Linked DNA regions of Drosophila melanogaster. The protein of the gene in region 3 interacts with the protein of the main gene of each other region in a pairwise test. Each region holds a gene or a part of one and is shown on either strand. Other genes may lie near its edges.

Region 1 (4,659 bases), on a different chromosome or scaffold from region 3:
CTACCCCGCTTCCATTCCGACTAGTTCACAGTTTTACCAATCGAAGGAGGAGCCGCAGGAAACGGAACCCGAACCAGAAATATTCGTCATGGCCGCACGCGATCGAACGGGCGAGTTCGCCAATGCGATTCGTTCCCTGCAGGCTCGAAATATCACCCGGGCAGTGAATATACGCGATCCCCGCAAAGCTAAGCAGGTTCAGAGCTACTCGGAGTTCATGATGGTCGCCAGGTTTATTGGCAAGAACATAGCCAGCACCTACGCAAAACTGGAGAAGCTCACAATGTGTAAGTACATGTTTTAGTAACCCCTTAAAGTCATATTCAAAACTTTAAAATTCCCATCTTCGTTTTAGTGGCCAAAAAGAAGAGCTTATTTGATGACAGACCGCAGGAGATTCAGGAGCTGACCTATATCATCAAAGGCGACCTAAATGCCTTAAATCAACAAATTGCCCGACTGCAGGACATCTCCAAGGATCAGCGGCGTCACACAAACGGCAAGCATTTGGTGTCACATTCCTCTAACATGGTACTGGCCCTGCAATCGAAACTGGCCAGCATGAGCACGGACTTCAAGCAAATCCTGGAGGTGCGCACGGAGAACCTCAAGCAGCAGAAGACGCGACGTGATCAGTTTAGCCAGGGACCAGGTCCGTTGGCCGCGCACACCGTCTCCCCCTCGACAGCCAAGCAGGGATCTTTGCTTCTCAGCGAGGAAAACCAAGCGGTCAGCATAGATATGGGGAGCAGCGATACCACACCACTCCTATCAACCCAGACACAGATGGCCATCTACGATGATTCCGATAATTACGTCCAGCAGCGGGCGGAGACCATGCAAAATATAGAATCTACCATCGTTGAGCTCGGCGGAATATTCCAGCAGCTGGCACATATGGTTAAGGAGCAGGAAGAGATCGTGGAGCGTATTGACACGAATGTGGCGGATGCGGAATTGAATATTGAGGCTGCCCATGGGGAGATCTTGAAATACTTTCAATCCGTCTCCAAAAATCGCTGGCTGATGATCAAAATCTTCGGCGTTCTCATATTCTTCTTCTTGTTCTTCGTTGTTTTTATGTCGTAATCAAACGCCAGTTGCCCATTAAAAGCCCCATGTACCTATCCATGTATACAGCTTTTTATTTTAATCAAGATTCAATCACAATATTGTTTATTCCAAGCTGTGGCCTCCCGAAACGATTGTAAAATAAAGTTATAAATACGTTCTAAAGCAAAATACATTTATTTTAGCATGTGGTTCTTTGGTGAATTTTTCCATTCTAATGGAAGCTCTAAAATTAAATATAATTTCCAAAATATAAAGCCGAATGATAAATATGTTTGCTGATGTAAGAAACTTGTATATTACCTTAGAAAACGTGTAATGCAAGTATCAAATTGGAGAGAGACTATATCTATGTTTGCCCTGCTGATAAGGTTTAAGTGCCCTTTCATAATCTTTATTATCTTAAGTGCTCGTTGCTCCATGTTCGTCGTGTTTAGCCAAAAATTCCGCTGTCCCTCATGCTAAACAGAAAAATGAAAATTGGTTACATTGATTTGACTTTTATTTAATGCTTAAAATCCAACTACACCAAAGATGCGATATGCAAAAAATAATCAAAATAAAAACATGTTACAATCTCTTACTGCAGAAAAGTATTACAAATTGTATGAAAAAAACAAAGCTTCAAGATGTCTTTATGGATTTACACTAGAATTTACAAGTGAAGTATTGTTCGCGGTTGATGGGGACTCTTCCCCAAAAAAGGAAGTCCTCTACCCGAGTTTAGACAACTAATACACGACGCTGATGCGTTGGCGCCAACACTGAGATCCCCAGGCAAGAGCTTGCCTATGTCGAGATGAGCGAATAAACCATGCTAAAATTAGCAATTAGAAACGTTAGACAAATGAGGACCCTGGCCACAATGAATCTCAATTAGACTTACCCGTATATGTAGTAGAAGAAGCTAATCAGATAGACGGCCAGTTTAATCCAACCCTCACGCATGTTCCGGTACAAAGTATCGGTTTTCAGGACCGTGGTGGGATCATAAAGTCCGGGTCCCGACATCACAGGGCGGTTTTTGTAACTGAAAGCGATAGGGGTATTACAAAGCATGAGTGCTTAAGGGTGCTTATGTTGGGCTTGGGTGAATCTTGATCTCCTCGGATCTCAAATCACATTATATCACACGGTCAAATGAGTCACTTACCGCCAAATATGATAGGCTATGAGGGGTATGTTGATGCATAGCGAAAACCATTCGCCGCAGAACAAGAAGAGCAAGTTCAGAAAGATGTGCAGAAGGTATTCGGGCAAAACCAGCTGAAATGCAAACACATACATTACAGGGCGCACTGCGGGTGTAAGCAGTAAGTTTACTGACCGGATTGAGGCTATTGCACTGATCAATTGGGTTCTTATAATCCGTTTTAAGTTCGTCGAATGCAATGACATGAAATATGGCGAAAAATATCAAGAATGCATCCCCGATCAGGGCCACTATGTACGTGAAGGCGGTGAAGTTGAAGGCCATCTTGTAAAATCGCTGGAGCACGTCTTCCAGGTGCTAATCAAAGTGACTTGCTAATTATTATCGTAAAATTCGGCTTTGCAATTGTAGCGCTGGGACTCACTTGTTTTTTTTTTACAAGGGCGGCGATGATGACAGCTGTGCGCCAGGGATGCACTAATCTAAACGATCAGGCAGCACAGATGTACGGTCACATTGCAAATGAGGCTAATAAATAATCAGCTATCCATTATAAATCAAATATAATTTCATTTAAAGAAGCAATTTTAATTTCTAACGAATTATAATGTTTTGTATTAATTTTAATTCTCTGGTAATTTTCTCTACGCACAAAAAATACCACTAACAGTTAGCCGATGCGGTCACACTACATTTCCAAATCGAACCGCCATTTGTGTTGCATCTCGAAATCTGGAAAAAATTCGATCCAAGTGTTCTATGAGCTTCTGTTTTTTAATAATAATAAATAAATAAATTCGATAATCAACTGACACCAGAAAAGAGCGGAACACAATGTCGCAGTTCAATTTTGTGAGCGATTTGCAGAATGCTCTCATCATGGACGGCGAGACGCGCGGACCTGCGCCCAGGTGGAAGAAGAAGCTGGAGGCGTCTCTAAATGGAAGTGTGAATACCACTCGGTCGGTGCTATCCGTCTCGTACAACACCAGTTTCTCGGGTGTCCAGGCGCCCACGAAAACTCCGGGCAAGAGCAGCGAGGGCAAGACCAAGAAGTCCAACACCACGCCCTCTAAGACGCCAGGAGGCGGAGATCGCTTTATTCCGAATCGGGCGGCTACCAACTTTGAGTTAGCACACTTTCTGGTAAGGATTCCACTCATCCCTCCATCCCGCCCTGTAAGGGCATCCTTATTCCAGACCCCTTAAGAATTTATTGACCACCTGACCATCTATTAGGTGAACAAAGACTCCGGCGATAAGTCCGATGAGGAGAACGACAAGGCCACCTCGAGCAACAGCAACGAGAGCAATGTCCAGGCTTCGGCTCACAAGGGCGACCGGCAGAAACTCATCTCTGAAGTGGCCCAGGTCGGTGACTCCAAGGGCGGGCGCATTTTGTGCTACCAAAACAAGGCTCCCGCTGCTCCAGAAACACACAACAATCCCCTGAAGGTCGTGTACTCCATTAAGACACCCATATCCACAAAGAGTGGCTCACGCTATATACCCACCACATCCGAGAGGATTCTGGATGCACCTGATTTTATTAACGATTACTGTAGGTCGAAGAAAACTTTTCTTTTCTTTTTTTCTACTATTGATCTCTTCCAGATTTAAATCTTATGGATTGGAGTGCCGACAATATAGTGGCTGTGGCCTTGGGCAGTTGCGTCTATTTGTGGAACGCACAGACCGGAAATATCGAGCAGCTTACGGAGTTTGAGGAGGGCGACTACGCAGGCTCGCTATCGTGGATCCAGGAGGGGCAGATACTTGCCATCGGCAACAGCACCGGTGCCGTGGAGCTGTGGGACTGCTCCAAAGTGAAGCGTCTGCGAGTGATGGATGGACACAGTGCCCGAGTGGGATCCTTGGCCTGGAACTCATTCCTGGTTTCCTCTGGCAGCCGGGATGGCACCATTGTCCACCACGATGTGCGTGCACGTGAGCACAAGCTTTCCACATTGTCCGGACACACGCAGGAGGTTTGCGGCCTAAAGTGGTCCACGGATTTCAAGTATTTGGCTAGCGGAGGCAACGACAATCTGGTGAATGTTTGGTCGGCGGCCAGCGGTGGCGTGGGAACTGCCACCGATCCCTTGCACAAATTCAACGACCATCAAGCTGCAGTGCGTGCCTTGGCCTGGTGTCCCTGGCAACCAAGTACTCTAGCCTCTGGAGGCGGCACCGCCGATCGCTGCATCAAGTTCTGGAATGTGAACAATGGCACTTTAATGAAATCCGTGGACTCCAAGTCGCAGGTCTGTTCTCTGCTCTTTTCTCGCCACTACAAGGAGCTGATCTCTGCGCATGGTTTTGCTAACAACCAACTGACCATTTGGAAATACCCAACAATGGTGAAGCAAGCCGATTTGACTGGACACACGTCACGAGTTCTCCAGATGGCCATGTCTCCGGACGGCAGCACAGTG
Region 2 (7,140 bases), on a different chromosome or scaffold from region 3:
AAGTGAGGAGGACACCAAATTGGATCAATAAATTATAAAAAGCCTTTTTTAAATGGCTACAAAGTAATTAACTCTAACCATATCTAAAAGACATTAACTAACAAACAAACATTACAATAAATGTAAAATTTTGTTTTTGCAAATTACAACTTTTTTCATTGTGTACAGTGTAAGACCAATTGCAAGCATAGAAGACCTGGACAAACGACTCCAACTGCAGGAGGCGGTATCAAGGACGACCTTCAGAAGTATTTCGCTAGAATCCTCGAGCTGTTCCTTAAGGAAATTAACTTTTCAGAGTGTGGGGCATCTGTGAATTATGTCGTAGATGGCGGCGACAGTGGAGACTTTCCTTGGGGCGACGGCTGCCACTTTGGATGTCATTAACGCCGCATAATGCAAACAAGCCTGACGACAGACACCTTAGCAAATGCACAGGACAATAAGCGGAGGAGCTAAAAAAATATTTACTCGTGCTTCCCCTCTCCTGAATTTGGCCCCCATTTAATTTATGAGGATGAGGGCGGTGTAGCAACCGAAAATGTTTTTGTCCACATTCTGCGTACTCGTCCGCCTCTTGGCAATTGCTCAGCTTTGCTCCTGGTTGTCTTTTGAGCTTCTTTACACCTCCCGCCGCTCCGCTCACCATTCAGCCAGTTATGAAAATTACTGAAACGTGGCCAAAGACGGGTGCGGGGATCCACAGGACCTGCAGGACGAGGGCACGCACACACAGAGCCGCTTGAGCAGTGGCAACAACATGAGGCACTGGCTTCACACACAGGACAACGTGACAAATAAAATCAAGCTGGCTTTGAGCAGTGGGCCGAGAATCCTGTTTTAGGCTTAAAACTTCAATATTTGTAATAGTTAAAGATTATCTTTACACCTGGTAGAATATTTATCAAGTGCATATAAGTAAGATTTTCGTTGTGTAAAATCGTAGGTAAATTTCATACTTCCCTCTTCTTTTACATTTGGAAAAATCGTAATCAAGTAAGCATTCGGGTGGGAATATATTTAAATCACACACAATATTAAGCTCTCGCCCATGGTGCCTTCTTGTAAAAAACCGCAGGACTATAAAGACTGACCCAATGCGCTACGCTACACAATAAATCGCGAGAGGAAACACTTTTTACAAAAAAAAAGAGATAAAACATACAAACAGTTCTAATTAAAATACTGAAGACAAAAAGAAAATTAATTATTTATTTGAGTTCCTTAATTATATTAACAATGTAATTCAAAAATTGTATTCCTACTACAATACTAAAAAAAAACCAAGTTAAATAACTTCTGATTGAAATTAAAGCATTATTCTAGTTAAAAATCAGCCCTATATTCTTGCTTTCAATTAATATATTTCAAGAGCATAGTTTTAAAGAATTCTCATACTGCCAACGCCAAATAAGTTTTCAAATACAAATGATAGTGGATGTCAAAAACAGCTAACCAATTAAAAACATCTTTAAAACAACATGGATAAATTTTGCGGTCTCCATAAATCTCAGCATTAAATCGCAAAAACGCATTTAAAAAGAAATAAACACTACGCGTTCGTTCTCGTAACAAATCAACTTAGCAGTTTCGAATGCAGCGCCGCCCCATTGGCTGGTATTTGGCTACAAAGTCAGTGGCAGTAGGAAAAGCAATGGGAAAAGCAGCCTGAGCGGCGACTCTGGATCCTGACTCCGAAAATAGAAACGAATCCTGGCCGGTCCTTTCATTCAGTTTCATTCTGCTGGCGCCGCTGGAAGCGTGCGGACGTTCGTTGTTTAGAGCTCGGCCATAAAGTCGTGTGGCAAAGTGGCACTTGACAAAAATAAAAAAAGTTACAAACCTTCAACAACAATAAGAAAAATATTTAATAAAAAAAATATATATTATAGAGGGCACACAACGTGCGGGGGCAAAGTGCAAATGGTAACGGTAATTTGCAGACATTAGTTGCCACACACACACACACACACACACACAAGCAAACGGTGCGGTGATTAAAGGCAATGGAAGGAGAGGTGCGAAAAATGTCACATTACGAATACGCAGTGTGTGCCCGAGTTAAATGGTGAAATTTAAAAGCTGTGCGAGCTGGAATTGAAAATATTTATCGCAAAGTTGTTTGGCCACTTAGTATGCCAGGCACGTAGTGCATTTTTGTGATGTGGATACGGCTCTTTGATTGTTTTATTAGCGATTCCCTTGGACAGGACCTAAAACGTCAGTTTCGGATGAGAGTATTTAAAGTTATGGAGGATTAGAAAGTAGTACATTGAAAATTTGAATTTAACCAAAAACTAAAATTGTTCTAAAGTGAAATTAAAAACGAATAAATATATTAAATAAATTGGAAATTAAGTAAGTGGAGCTTACACATTAATCAAAAATTTAAATGCTATGGCTTCGACTTTTGTCATCAGTAATAACGAAGGAGAAGAAAAACTTGAGCTCCAATAAATAAGATATTAAGAATAAAGCCGCACTTTTGGCGATTCATAAAACAAATATAGATAGAAATTCATAAAGTAAATATCTATATATATATATATATAACCAAGTCAGCCATGAGCCAGATGCAACTGCAATCGCAGCGCGTTCGCCGCGCCCGTCATCATCGCCGCAATCAGTCCGCAGAGCCGTGCGAGTGCCTTCGTCCTGTGATAAGGGTTTTTGGTCTGCTGACTTCATTCGGTAAGCTCAAGTGCGCGGAAATCCGAGCCAGTGGAATAAGACTTGTCGGTGCCGGTGCCCAGGTGACCCCCGTTTCGAGATAATGCCAATCTCGATACGAGGCTATGATGCATGTGCATGTGCATGCATTTATGTATGAATGTGCAATGCTTTTCTGGCCCTTATTTGGAATGTTTACCCTTGACAAATCGTAGGAAATACTTGTGCATGGGAACCATTGCCTCGGGATATGTTGAGTGCTGTGGCTTATTATATTTCTTGGCACTGAATGGGATTCGCAAGACGAAGACGATGCTGAATGGGGACACGCTCTTATTGGCTGCTTTTATTGTTCCTTTCAATTCATATAATATTACTCTTTGAGCAATATTTTCATTGTACACAAAGGTTTTGCATTTGTTTGAGAAGACTGGCAAAATAAATGTACATAAAAGGAAATGGTTTTCCATATTCACAGAGCACATATAGCACAGAATATGTGCTCTAATGAACAGGATATTTGACCTAATGTAATTTGGTAAAATAAATAAATGCCATCCAATACTACTGAAATTCCAGTTTAGCTTAACAATTAAATAGAACACAGAGAGTAAATTGGTAGAAGATTAATTTCCCTTTTTTTGCGTCATTTAATTACAATTCAATTATGCTTTTTTTGTACAACCCAGCTTTGTGTTACATTTTTTCCGTTTAAATTGAGGCAATAATTTTAGATTGACAGCCTGAAATTTAATGGCATTTCGTTTGTCAATTTACGAAGTCAAATTTAATTTATTAAACAGGCAAGGTAAAGTGAAGCAAAAACTTAATAAATAATAATATTACCTTTCTGAAATGAATTCAGTTTGGTTGCACAACGTAACTTTTTCACCCTGTATCCGCATTCTAATCTACGAAAATGCAATCACATTTTTTCATCCCAATTTTTCTGCCATCTGGTGAAGTTATCAAAGTTGGCTTAAACGCTTATCGTGGCCAATCATAACGATTTTCCTCCACCATCTGACATTTTCCTAATGCGCTTAAGATAGTGCACCGCCGTTTTTTTATACAGAATTTGATAAATCGCCCAGCTGCAGGCAGGCCAACAAAAACTTCGGGTCAAGTTCAAACTAATTTCTTTGCAAATTGTTTTGGGGTCCATCATGGGTGCAGTGGCACGCAGGAAAACAAAGTATAAAATCTCTGTAGTTCATAAGCTCCGCATTATAGGGATCGGGTAAGAGGGATGGGGTTTTCCAAGGAAACTCTCTGGCAGAGCCATTAACAAGGCATTGGCCTCTATGCAGCTTGCAGCTTGCAGCTCACGACTGGCATCCTGTGCCAAGAGCAGAGTTTTCCCAGCCCGATTTTCCCCTTATCAGCAACTTTTCCATACGGTCGACAATGAGCTGTGTTGTTAGCCTTTAGGCGCCAGCCATTCGCCAAGTTTTCCTCTTGCCCGGCATCTATTTTTCCCCCACCGCTTTCAATTATCCAGATAATTTTTGCATGTTTTTTCGATTTCCGCTTTTTCAATTTTTATCTCCGTTGACAGCATTTAATGTAATTGGTTTGGTTTCGGTTCTGCAGTTGTGCTTAAATATGGGGCATACATATACATATATCTAACTGGCTAATCTGATTGGTTTTTCGCGACCCGGCATAATAAAAACAACTTAATTAGATTGTATTTTTATGGACCACTGGGCGTGGTGGCTCCATAACCACATCTAACCATATCTTATACACTCAAAGTGGATTTGGCTAAGACAAAATGTGAAGCGGAACCATAATGTGGTTAGAATATGAATGCCCTGCGGAGGGCTGTTCGACAAAAATATAGAAACCTTTTAAGTTATAAAATTTAAGTTCGTCATGAATATTGAAGTTTCTTCCAAGCTATTTATTATTAATTATCATTATGTTATTTCGTAATGTGTAGGACATTGCCTTCTTAAAATACTCTATTGCAAATGATGTAAGCTTCAGTAAAATTGCGATAAACTTCTTGAGCTCACCTCGTTTCCATTCATTGGTTTTGTATTACATTTTATGGCCAAAGCATGGTAAACAAAAAAGGCCCAGCTCAATAAATATGCTTATAAATATATTTGCCTAGACACACTCACATTATTTTATAGGCTCGTTCAAGGATAACACTCCTCGTTTCAACCCGCCAAAAAGGACCCCCCGCACCGAACCTTTCTTTAGCCATTTTTCATTTCAGTTATCTGCGGCGTTGGCGTTGATGTCTACATGCATGGCTATCGGGCCGGTCTTTATATAGTGTAAGTCACGGATCTAAATATCCCCCATAACTATACTAATTTCTGGTTAGTTTTTCAGCCGTGCTGGTAATGTTTATCGAGATCAAGTGGCTTGTGACTATCTTCCTGCAACTTCAGTGCGCAGAGTAAGAAAACTATTCAAGATTACCAAATAACATGTTCATAAATTATAGTTATTCGTATATATATTATTTGATAATTAGCAGTTATTATTTATGAAATATAGAAATTCTAGTTACCAAGCCTAGTAGTTGTAAAACTAATTAAACCCTAATTATACTATAATATGATATACTTTACTATTATATACAATACTCTATATCAAGTGCCTTTGCTCAGATTTTTCTCTGCAAATTTTTCTCTGTTCACATATTTGTGAATTCAATTTGTTTCAGGGATAATTACCAGCGAAGGTCCTGCAGCTGCTTGGCCTGCTGGCGACTTTCAGCGATTTGTGGCGGTTGGCGACCCACTCCTGTTTATGCGGTCATCGGCATCTGCCTGATCCTGTATCCCCACAATCTGTGGCTGAGTTATGTGGCCGGGATGTTCCTGATACTCCTCGGACTCCTCAGACTGTGCACGCTGCTCCGATTCAGCGCCTCGAAGGAGGAGGGTCTCCTGCCGCAGTGCGACTTTGAAAAGTGATGCCAGCCAACGAATGTCTTTGTTATTTGTTTCTAATGTCTGTTTGTTCTGCGATGATAGGGTGTCGAGCTTTGTGGATACCATGGAGGATGATTTCGCGGAGATTGGTGCCACGCAAGCGGGATTGGATGAGGAAGCGGAGGAGGAGGGCGACGACCACACCGCCCTAGACGACGATGTTTGCTAATAGTTTAAGCCAGCTTTTCTGCCTAATGTAATGTGAGATTTTAAACGACTTAACAAATGTCTAATAATATACAGTTTGTAAAGAGGTTTCGATTTAAACGCTGAGTGCGTGGTATATTTTTATAGGTAATCGATAAACCCACACTTTGTATGATTTTTGGTGTCATTTATAAACGAAGCCACTCAAAAGTCAAAAAGGACATTCTTCAAAAGAATTTTGAAAGTTCCTTTTAAGTATTGGGTATCTGCTTTTTACCTACAGAAATAATTATCAAAGCTATTTCGTTTTAAATAATGTTATTTTAATTTCGTCTTTTATTGTTTTTTGTGCTAAACGGATTTCTGCGTTCACTAAAGGCCAAAATGAAGGGCTGGTCGTCGAATTCTTCGGTTTTTCTCAGACCAAAAGAACGCTCATTGCCGTAATCATACTCGTCCTCATCATAGTAGTTATAGTAGTGCCTCTGGTGGCCTTTAGGGCCTCCATGTCCATGTGATGGAGGAGGAGGAGGTGGAGGATACGGATACGGTGGATATGAACCTCCGGGATATCCAGGAGGACCCTGAGGACCAGGTTGGCCAGGGATTCCAGGCATCCCGGGGTGGCCCTTATCTCCACGCGGCCCCTTCTCGCCGGGATCACCCTTGGATCCTTTGGGGCCGGGATAGCCCTTCTGCCCCGGCTGTCCCGGTGGACCAGGTGGACCTGGAGGACCGGGCGGACAACCGCATGGCTGTGGCTGAGGATACGGATACGAATAGCTTGGCGGATAGTGTGGCGGATGATAATGTTGATGATCGTGATCCTCCTCTATGATCACTTCCTGTGGCGGGGCTGGAGCGGGACTTCCAGTTTGGAGGGTGATCAGCCGGGGCACTGAGGCATCATCCTTGGCGAAAACTCCCCCAAGAACAGACAGTAGTGCCACCAGCAGAATAGTCCAGTTCGCAGAGAGAACTTCCAGATTCGACGACATGCTGTGAACTAACGAAAATCAGATCGCAGTCACTTCTTTTATGTGGATAAATGCGTTTGAAAAATGGCAACAGAGGAGAATCATTCAAACTCCCGTTAAGATAGCTCATTTGAGATCTATATGTCTTGTCTTACGATCGCATTATATTTGTATCGTATGCTAATTTCTCTTGTTTAATAAACCAAGCCATTTATTTATAAAGTATCTGATTTGCATAATATTCAATGAATGAGTTGAGTTTTTGGGCTGATGAAAGAACTTTCACACCAAATGGATGTCGGACTTTGTGATCGAGCCATGAAAAGTGAATTCTCGTATTCTAGGATAGATCAATTAACAGGTATATGTATATCATTTCTGCGCGTAAA
Region 3 (5,867 bases):
GCCTGGCTTTTCCGCATTTCCACTTTCTCGTCTTGCCAACCCGAAAGGAGGCCGACTAACTGGCAAACAAGACTAATTAATTTCACTTTACGTGACTTGCATGGCCGAGAGCGTCGATGGTGGAGCAGAAATTATGGCACATTAGGGTATGGGAAGTGCTAAGAGCTGCCGACGAAGAAATAATTAAATGATCATTTGGCTAAGAGGGCTAGGAAGCACCGCAAAAAATTATCTACTTACGAGCAGAGTCAAGACCACATAAATATATCAATTAAATGAAGCTTGTATGGAAATGGAAATTACCCTTTAAAGGACATGGTTTTTCTCTGTACACATAGGCGATAAGTGCACAAGGTCATGAGTGGTCATGGCAACTTGCAGCACTTTACAGGGTTGCCTACTGCACGTGTAAAGCAATGCGAAACCCATATTATGTCTGCAATGCGGCTACATTTCTATACATTTATTTTGTTTTTCTTTTTTTTTTTTACGCCAGCGCTTTTCGGCATAAAACACATGAATATATTGCGCTCTTCATTACGTTGTTAAGCGTACTTGGCTGAAAATTTGCTTATGCTTGGCGAACAACTAACTATGAATAAATCGTGCCAGAAATAGACAAGAATCGAGGCGAAAACTTCATCAAACTGGCAACAAAAGTAATAATAATGAGGCGGGAGCCCCCAAAAACAACACAAACAATAGACGAGCCAAGTGCTTTTTTGTGGGCGTTGGGTGCTGCTTGTTGGGTGATGATGGTTGTTGCGTTTGTGGGTGGTTCAAAAGATTTGAAAAGCCAACAATGGCAACAGCTTACAGAGCACCGAAACCAAAACGAAAACGAAACAAGAAGCAAAATCAGACAGGGGGGCACCATAGTGTACCTGTTTATTTTCAGTTTCAATGCGGATAAGGTAAACAAAGGTTGGCGATATCTTTTTCATGGAGCGCCGGTTGCAAAAATTCTATCCGGCAATGTTAGGTGAAAATAGCTTGTTGTGCAAGCAAACATGGTCGCAAAAGTAGTTCGTGTAGTAAAATAAATAAACAATAGCCTCGGGAAAGTGGCCTTTTGCGTAAATGAATCAATAACAATATGCACGATCAACAATTGACATTCAAGCCCAATTTACGCATATGAACTCTCATCATTAAAAAACACCCTTCATTTACAAATTACATTTATGTATTTTTGTTTTATTCTTCCATTGCAAACGATTTATTTGTTTATAAATACAACAATTCAGTGGTCATGAAAAGCATTGTGCTAAAAACTAACTACTTCAATGTATATTCACTTGAGACACACAAATACTATGTACTTAATAAAAGTAAAAAAAAAATCGGGTATATATATGTACATATATATTCACGCATTGTTAACCAGTTATCAGAAGAAGGGAAGAAGCAGAGCCAGAAGGCACAATACAACTTATCTCTTTGGAATTTGCTCTCTTGTTAGTGGTTTTCTCTCGCTTTCTGTTCGCTATTATATCTACGTTATTGCTGCGATCGACTGGCTTTATCTTCTTCACTTCTTGACCTATATCTAGCGACTATTAGATAACACATACGGTAACTGTTCCCGCGACAAAAGCTTGCCACAATTTCAAACTTCAGACTTAAATGCTTCAAGCAAACGCAAGCGATACTCGCTCTCTCAAAACAAACTCACACACACGCGCACGCACTGGCACTCACACAGATACTCGTTCGCACACAGATACTCGCTCTCACACAGATACACACACAGAGTAAGCCTAACGTAGTAAGAGCCACCAAAAGCTGGGTTCGTGCACCTGAAACCAAGTCTATATCGTTTGGGTGGCCACCTCCCGCTGGCGACTGCGCCGATAGTTTCCATAGGCCTCCAGTCCGTTGATGCAAAATGCTGTCAGGCCAAAGAACTGTAAAAAAAAAGGTGAAGAATAGGGTGTATTAGACGGATCTACAGAGAGTTCATCACAGCGAGGGAATGAATCGGCTCCAACTGGAGGCTCAGTGTTTCGTTTACCAGTATCTTTCCTAGCTTAATCATTAGCCGAAACAATGAGCCGTAATACTTTTGGTTTCCGAACTTATCCTAACTGCGAGAACGCCACTTACCGCCGCCGCCGTATAGGCTCCAATATCCAGGGAGAGTACGAGTCCGGAGGCCGTGAAGTAGGCCAGGGCCAATGAGGAGTGCACCGCCAGGGACCAGAGCGTGGGATCGCATCGGCAGAACTGGCGCTGCCACAACCGGAGATACCTGGCCAGGAGCAGGCAGCCGGTGGCCACGAATCCGATGGTGACTACGGCCAGGTAGAAACTGCCGCGGAAATTGCTCACGCGCACCGGTCCGCAGATGATGCACAATATTCCAACAAAGCTGCACAGCTGAAAGACGCACACATACAAGCGCACACATTAAGGGCGATACACAATGGCACATATGTGTAAGGCTAATTACCAAACAGGCCAGCTTGCACAGGCCCGGCATGCTGAGCAGGTATTTGCGATCGTAGTCCTGGGTTCCCGTCAACGACATCGCGGCCAATACAAGATATATACGTTTTGGATGCAGTTAATCCAGATTGTCCAGCCGAATAGATGCCTCAGAAACGAGCGATTAAAGCCAATGTAGCAAATGTAGCGAAGCGCCGCTGACTAATTCATATTGCGCTCGCCAGCACGCACAGAATGCCACTGAAGTAATACAAACAACACAAATACTCAGAATTCTCCCATCGTTACACTCGGCGAATAAAACTACAATTGCGAGAGCGAGAGAAGCAGCGGGCGAAAGAGAGAGAGAGAGAGAGAGAGAGAGAGAGAGACAGAGAGCGAGCAACACATGGCACAGTGGGACGAAACGATCAGGAAATGTAGTACATATTGTGTACAAATTGTGTTATCTACTCAAATGGTATCTAATGAAACTATAAATATTAAGGAGATTAGCTTTAGCTGGGTATTTATAAAAAATAGGATTATTAGTTTAAGAAAGCTGTAATTTCCAATAAATGAATAAACCATATTAACTTGTCTTACTAACTGTAGTTTTGGGGGTCTGTTCATTGTGAATGCTTCTTCGTTACATTATACTAATTTTCGTTCGGGGGATGTCAAGGGGTGAATCTAACACGGTGTGACTCACTGACCTCCAGGGATATATTAAATATATGTATATTCATAAGGCAAGGTGACCGGTTACTGGGTGAGCAAAGCTTTTTTAGTCGTGTGAAGTGCCGAGCTTTTATGACTGGCATTGCTTGTGACATGCAGTTTGAGGTTGGGCCCTTTTTGGACCACTGTGCATTCGAATTTCCATCTGTATCTTAATGCCCAGCATCATTAGATTGTGCCATTCGAATCGTATTTGTTATCGGCTATGACCGAAACGCTTCTCGTTATTTTAATCGGCACAGCAGGCTAATTGATTTAGTTACTTAACGGATAAATCGCTGCACAAATCCGAATGCGAATGCAAATGCGAGCCTCCCAAAATCAAATGCAATTTCGTCGTGATTCACATTGCAAAACACAAGCTGCCCAGCACATATCATACGGAATACGTGAATATACACAAACCATTTGGTGGCCAGATAAGTTTGACGAACTTTGAACACACTACTCCATACAAAAGAAAAAAATTTTATGATACAAAGCTACAAAGATATTACAGATACAATTTTTTCATTCATTTAATTTTGATTTCTCGCTACTCATGTACTATTTTCCACATTCAATTGTTAAAGTTCTTGAAAATGCATAGATACTTGTATAGGGTAGCAGTCGAAACACTCTGGCCCGACATCAAATTGAGTTATATTAATTGACTCATATTCATGAGAGGTGGCTCGTTTACGAAATGGCCGCATGGGTGGCCCCCGCCTCCTGGCCAAGGTCACTTGCACAATCGCCTCGACTGACTGAGATTCAGAGACATTCACAGTTTCACAGATTCACATATTCTAATGCAGAGCGGAAAATGCTGAGTGAGATATCTATGCGACGGAAATCGGCCACAACAAGCGGAAATGAGCACGAAAATCATAAATGAACTGCACTTGAGCAATTTAAGCGATAAAGTGCAGTTTCCATTTCGAGGGTAACAAACAGTCAGACGACTGCAGGGCAACTAATGTCTACATGATTTCTAAAAGCTCATGCATATATATGTATAAACATATATATATACATAAATATGGGAGGCACGAGATTTGCGCTCATCGATAAGCATCGAATCGTCTGGACAAGCGGGGAAAATGTGCGGCGGAAAAGCGAAGAAAATTGACTGGAGAGCGGATTTACACTTGAGGGCGTGCGAGTCTCAATGGCAAAAAGCTATGATTACCTATGGACATTTCTTTGATTTCTTTAGGACTTTGAATTCGATAAGTGCACAGAGGACTTTATAAATGTGCGCTTTAAACCACTGAATAACAGCAAAAGCATCTAAATAGTTTTTAACTAAATATCCAACTTATACTCAGTGGCACGTTGCTGAGAGTGCATTGTTTAGTGATATATCTCGCCTACGATTCATGCACATGGCTGGTTTTTCGCTTACGCACTCAGGCAATTTCCATCGCTTTTCCACCCATGTTGTAGAGCAGCGGAGAGAGAGGGGGGCGGGGCCGGGGGGAATTGGAAAATGTGGGTGCATCTAATTAGAAAAGCATTCGCTGTAATTGCCAGCTGCTGCATCAGCAAGATTTTGTTTGCTTTGGCGACGGGATAACGTGGAGCAGGACCAAAGGCAAAGCGACATGTGAGCTATTAAGCAGTGTTCTGGCTGAAAAAATCCAGTTTCAGATGCATCAGAAGCATCTTTAATAATGACAAACTTGGCGATAACTATGACCAATTAAACGAAAGTTGGAGTAAACGTTTGCGAGCAGGCAGATAATTAGTTTCAGGCACTTTGAAGGAAGTTCGAAAGAAAGCGGCAAGTTGGGCCGTAGCCATTTCTCAACCTCGACAAAGAAGTGTGCCAGCTGGGTATCTGTCAGATACAGATACTAAGTTGCCCAGATACACGGCTCGATTTGAATGCAAATTTCGTGCAGTGGCTGTCAGACTCTGCAGCTGACGTGACAAGACCAAGACCACCCCCCCTAATTTCGAATCCCGAAATACCCCAAAAATAGCAACGACCTCAGCATATCTGCCAAGTGAATTTGAATCTGATATTCCCTTCGACTTTGGGCGCTTTTTATCCGCCAGCTGACAACCACCCCCATTTCCCCCCTCGGATTTTCCAGCTTTTTCCCCCCCGGGGAACAGAACATTTATGCGCCTTATAAATGATTATCGTGTGCACTCAAGTGCCAACGTCATCAATCAAATGGGCCAAGTGCAACAGGATGTCCTTGCCGCCATTCTTTAAATATCCTTTATTTGCTATCTGTATCTCTTTGTCTGGAGGCTCATCTCATATTCGCGAGCTTACTGTCATCTCAGTTGTGGTGCATGGAGCTGCTGTTCTTCGACAGCTTTCAATGATGTTGTAAACGAATTTACTTGAAATGAAAATATTATTTAAAGCCCGAAGCATAACTAGATTCGAAGGGCATTAAGCTTTCGCTGGTGGTACTTTCACTTTAAGTTCGGTTTCTGCGGGTAATTTATGCTAATGAATTGCCAATCAATCCGTCAATCAATCAACGAAAATACATTTTCCTATAGACCTCATTAATGACCTCCTACGAGTATATGGAAAAGAAAAAAAAAATTGGTTGAGTCTCAAATCAATTTAATTGGCATTTCATTGGCCCGTTTCCCCCGAATTGTACACACTTTTCACAAGCTCCCTGCGATTTTTCCACTTCATTTTCAGTATCTGCTCTTCGCTGAATTCAGCTGCCGCTGCACATTTTAAA

What was found. The genes of interacting proteins can lie anywhere in the genome.
Region 1: the proteins of CG12730 (region 3) and cni interact in a two-hybrid assay, tested with the Drosophila melanogaster proteins (one large-scale study listed by BioGRID).
Region 2: the proteins of CG12730 (region 3) and CG14086 interact in a two-hybrid assay, tested with the Drosophila melanogaster proteins (one large-scale study listed by BioGRID).

What each region holds. Positions count from the first base shown.
Region 1 is NT_033779.5:16,308,043-16,312,701, forward strand, and holds cni (cornichon), read right to left. Parts: upstream 2,685-4,659; 5' UTR 2,649-2,684; exon of another isoform or gene 2,599-2,648; 5' UTR 2,549-2,598; coding exon 2,399-2,548; intron 2,338-2,398; coding exon 2,225-2,337; intron 2,102-2,224; coding exon 1,958-2,101; intron 1,889-1,957; coding exon 1,861-1,888; 3' UTR 1,250-1,860; downstream 1-1,249. Other genes in the region: Syx5 (syntaxin 5), read left to right, coding at 1-287, 356-1,089; fzy (fizzy), read left to right, coding at 3,059-3,370, 3,464-3,785, 3,839-4,659. UniProt on the Drosophila melanogaster protein: Acts as a cargo receptor necessary for the transportation of gurken (grk) to a transitional endoplasmic reticulum (tER) site and promotes its incorporation into coat protein complex II (COPII) vesicles.
Region 2 is NT_037436.4:19,274,029-19,281,168, forward strand, and holds CG14086 (uncharacterized protein), read left to right. Parts: upstream 1-1,762; 5' UTR 1,763-2,564; coding exon 2,565-2,691; intron 2,692-4,900; coding exon 4,901-4,961; intron 4,962-5,011; coding exon 5,012-5,086; intron 5,087-5,356; coding exon 5,357-5,605; intron 5,606-5,669; coding exon 5,670-5,796; 3' UTR 5,797-5,891; downstream 5,892-7,140. Other genes in the region: CG14089 (uncharacterized protein), read right to left, coding at 6,098-6,772.
Region 3 is NC_004354.4:5,514,084-5,519,950, reverse strand, and holds CG12730 (uncharacterized protein), read right to left. Parts: upstream 3,344-5,867; 5' UTR 2,531-3,343; coding exon 2,453-2,530; exon of another isoform or gene 2,451-2,452; intron 2,380-2,450; coding exon 2,107-2,379; intron 1,908-2,106; coding exon 1,812-1,907; 3' UTR 1,180-1,811; downstream 1-1,179.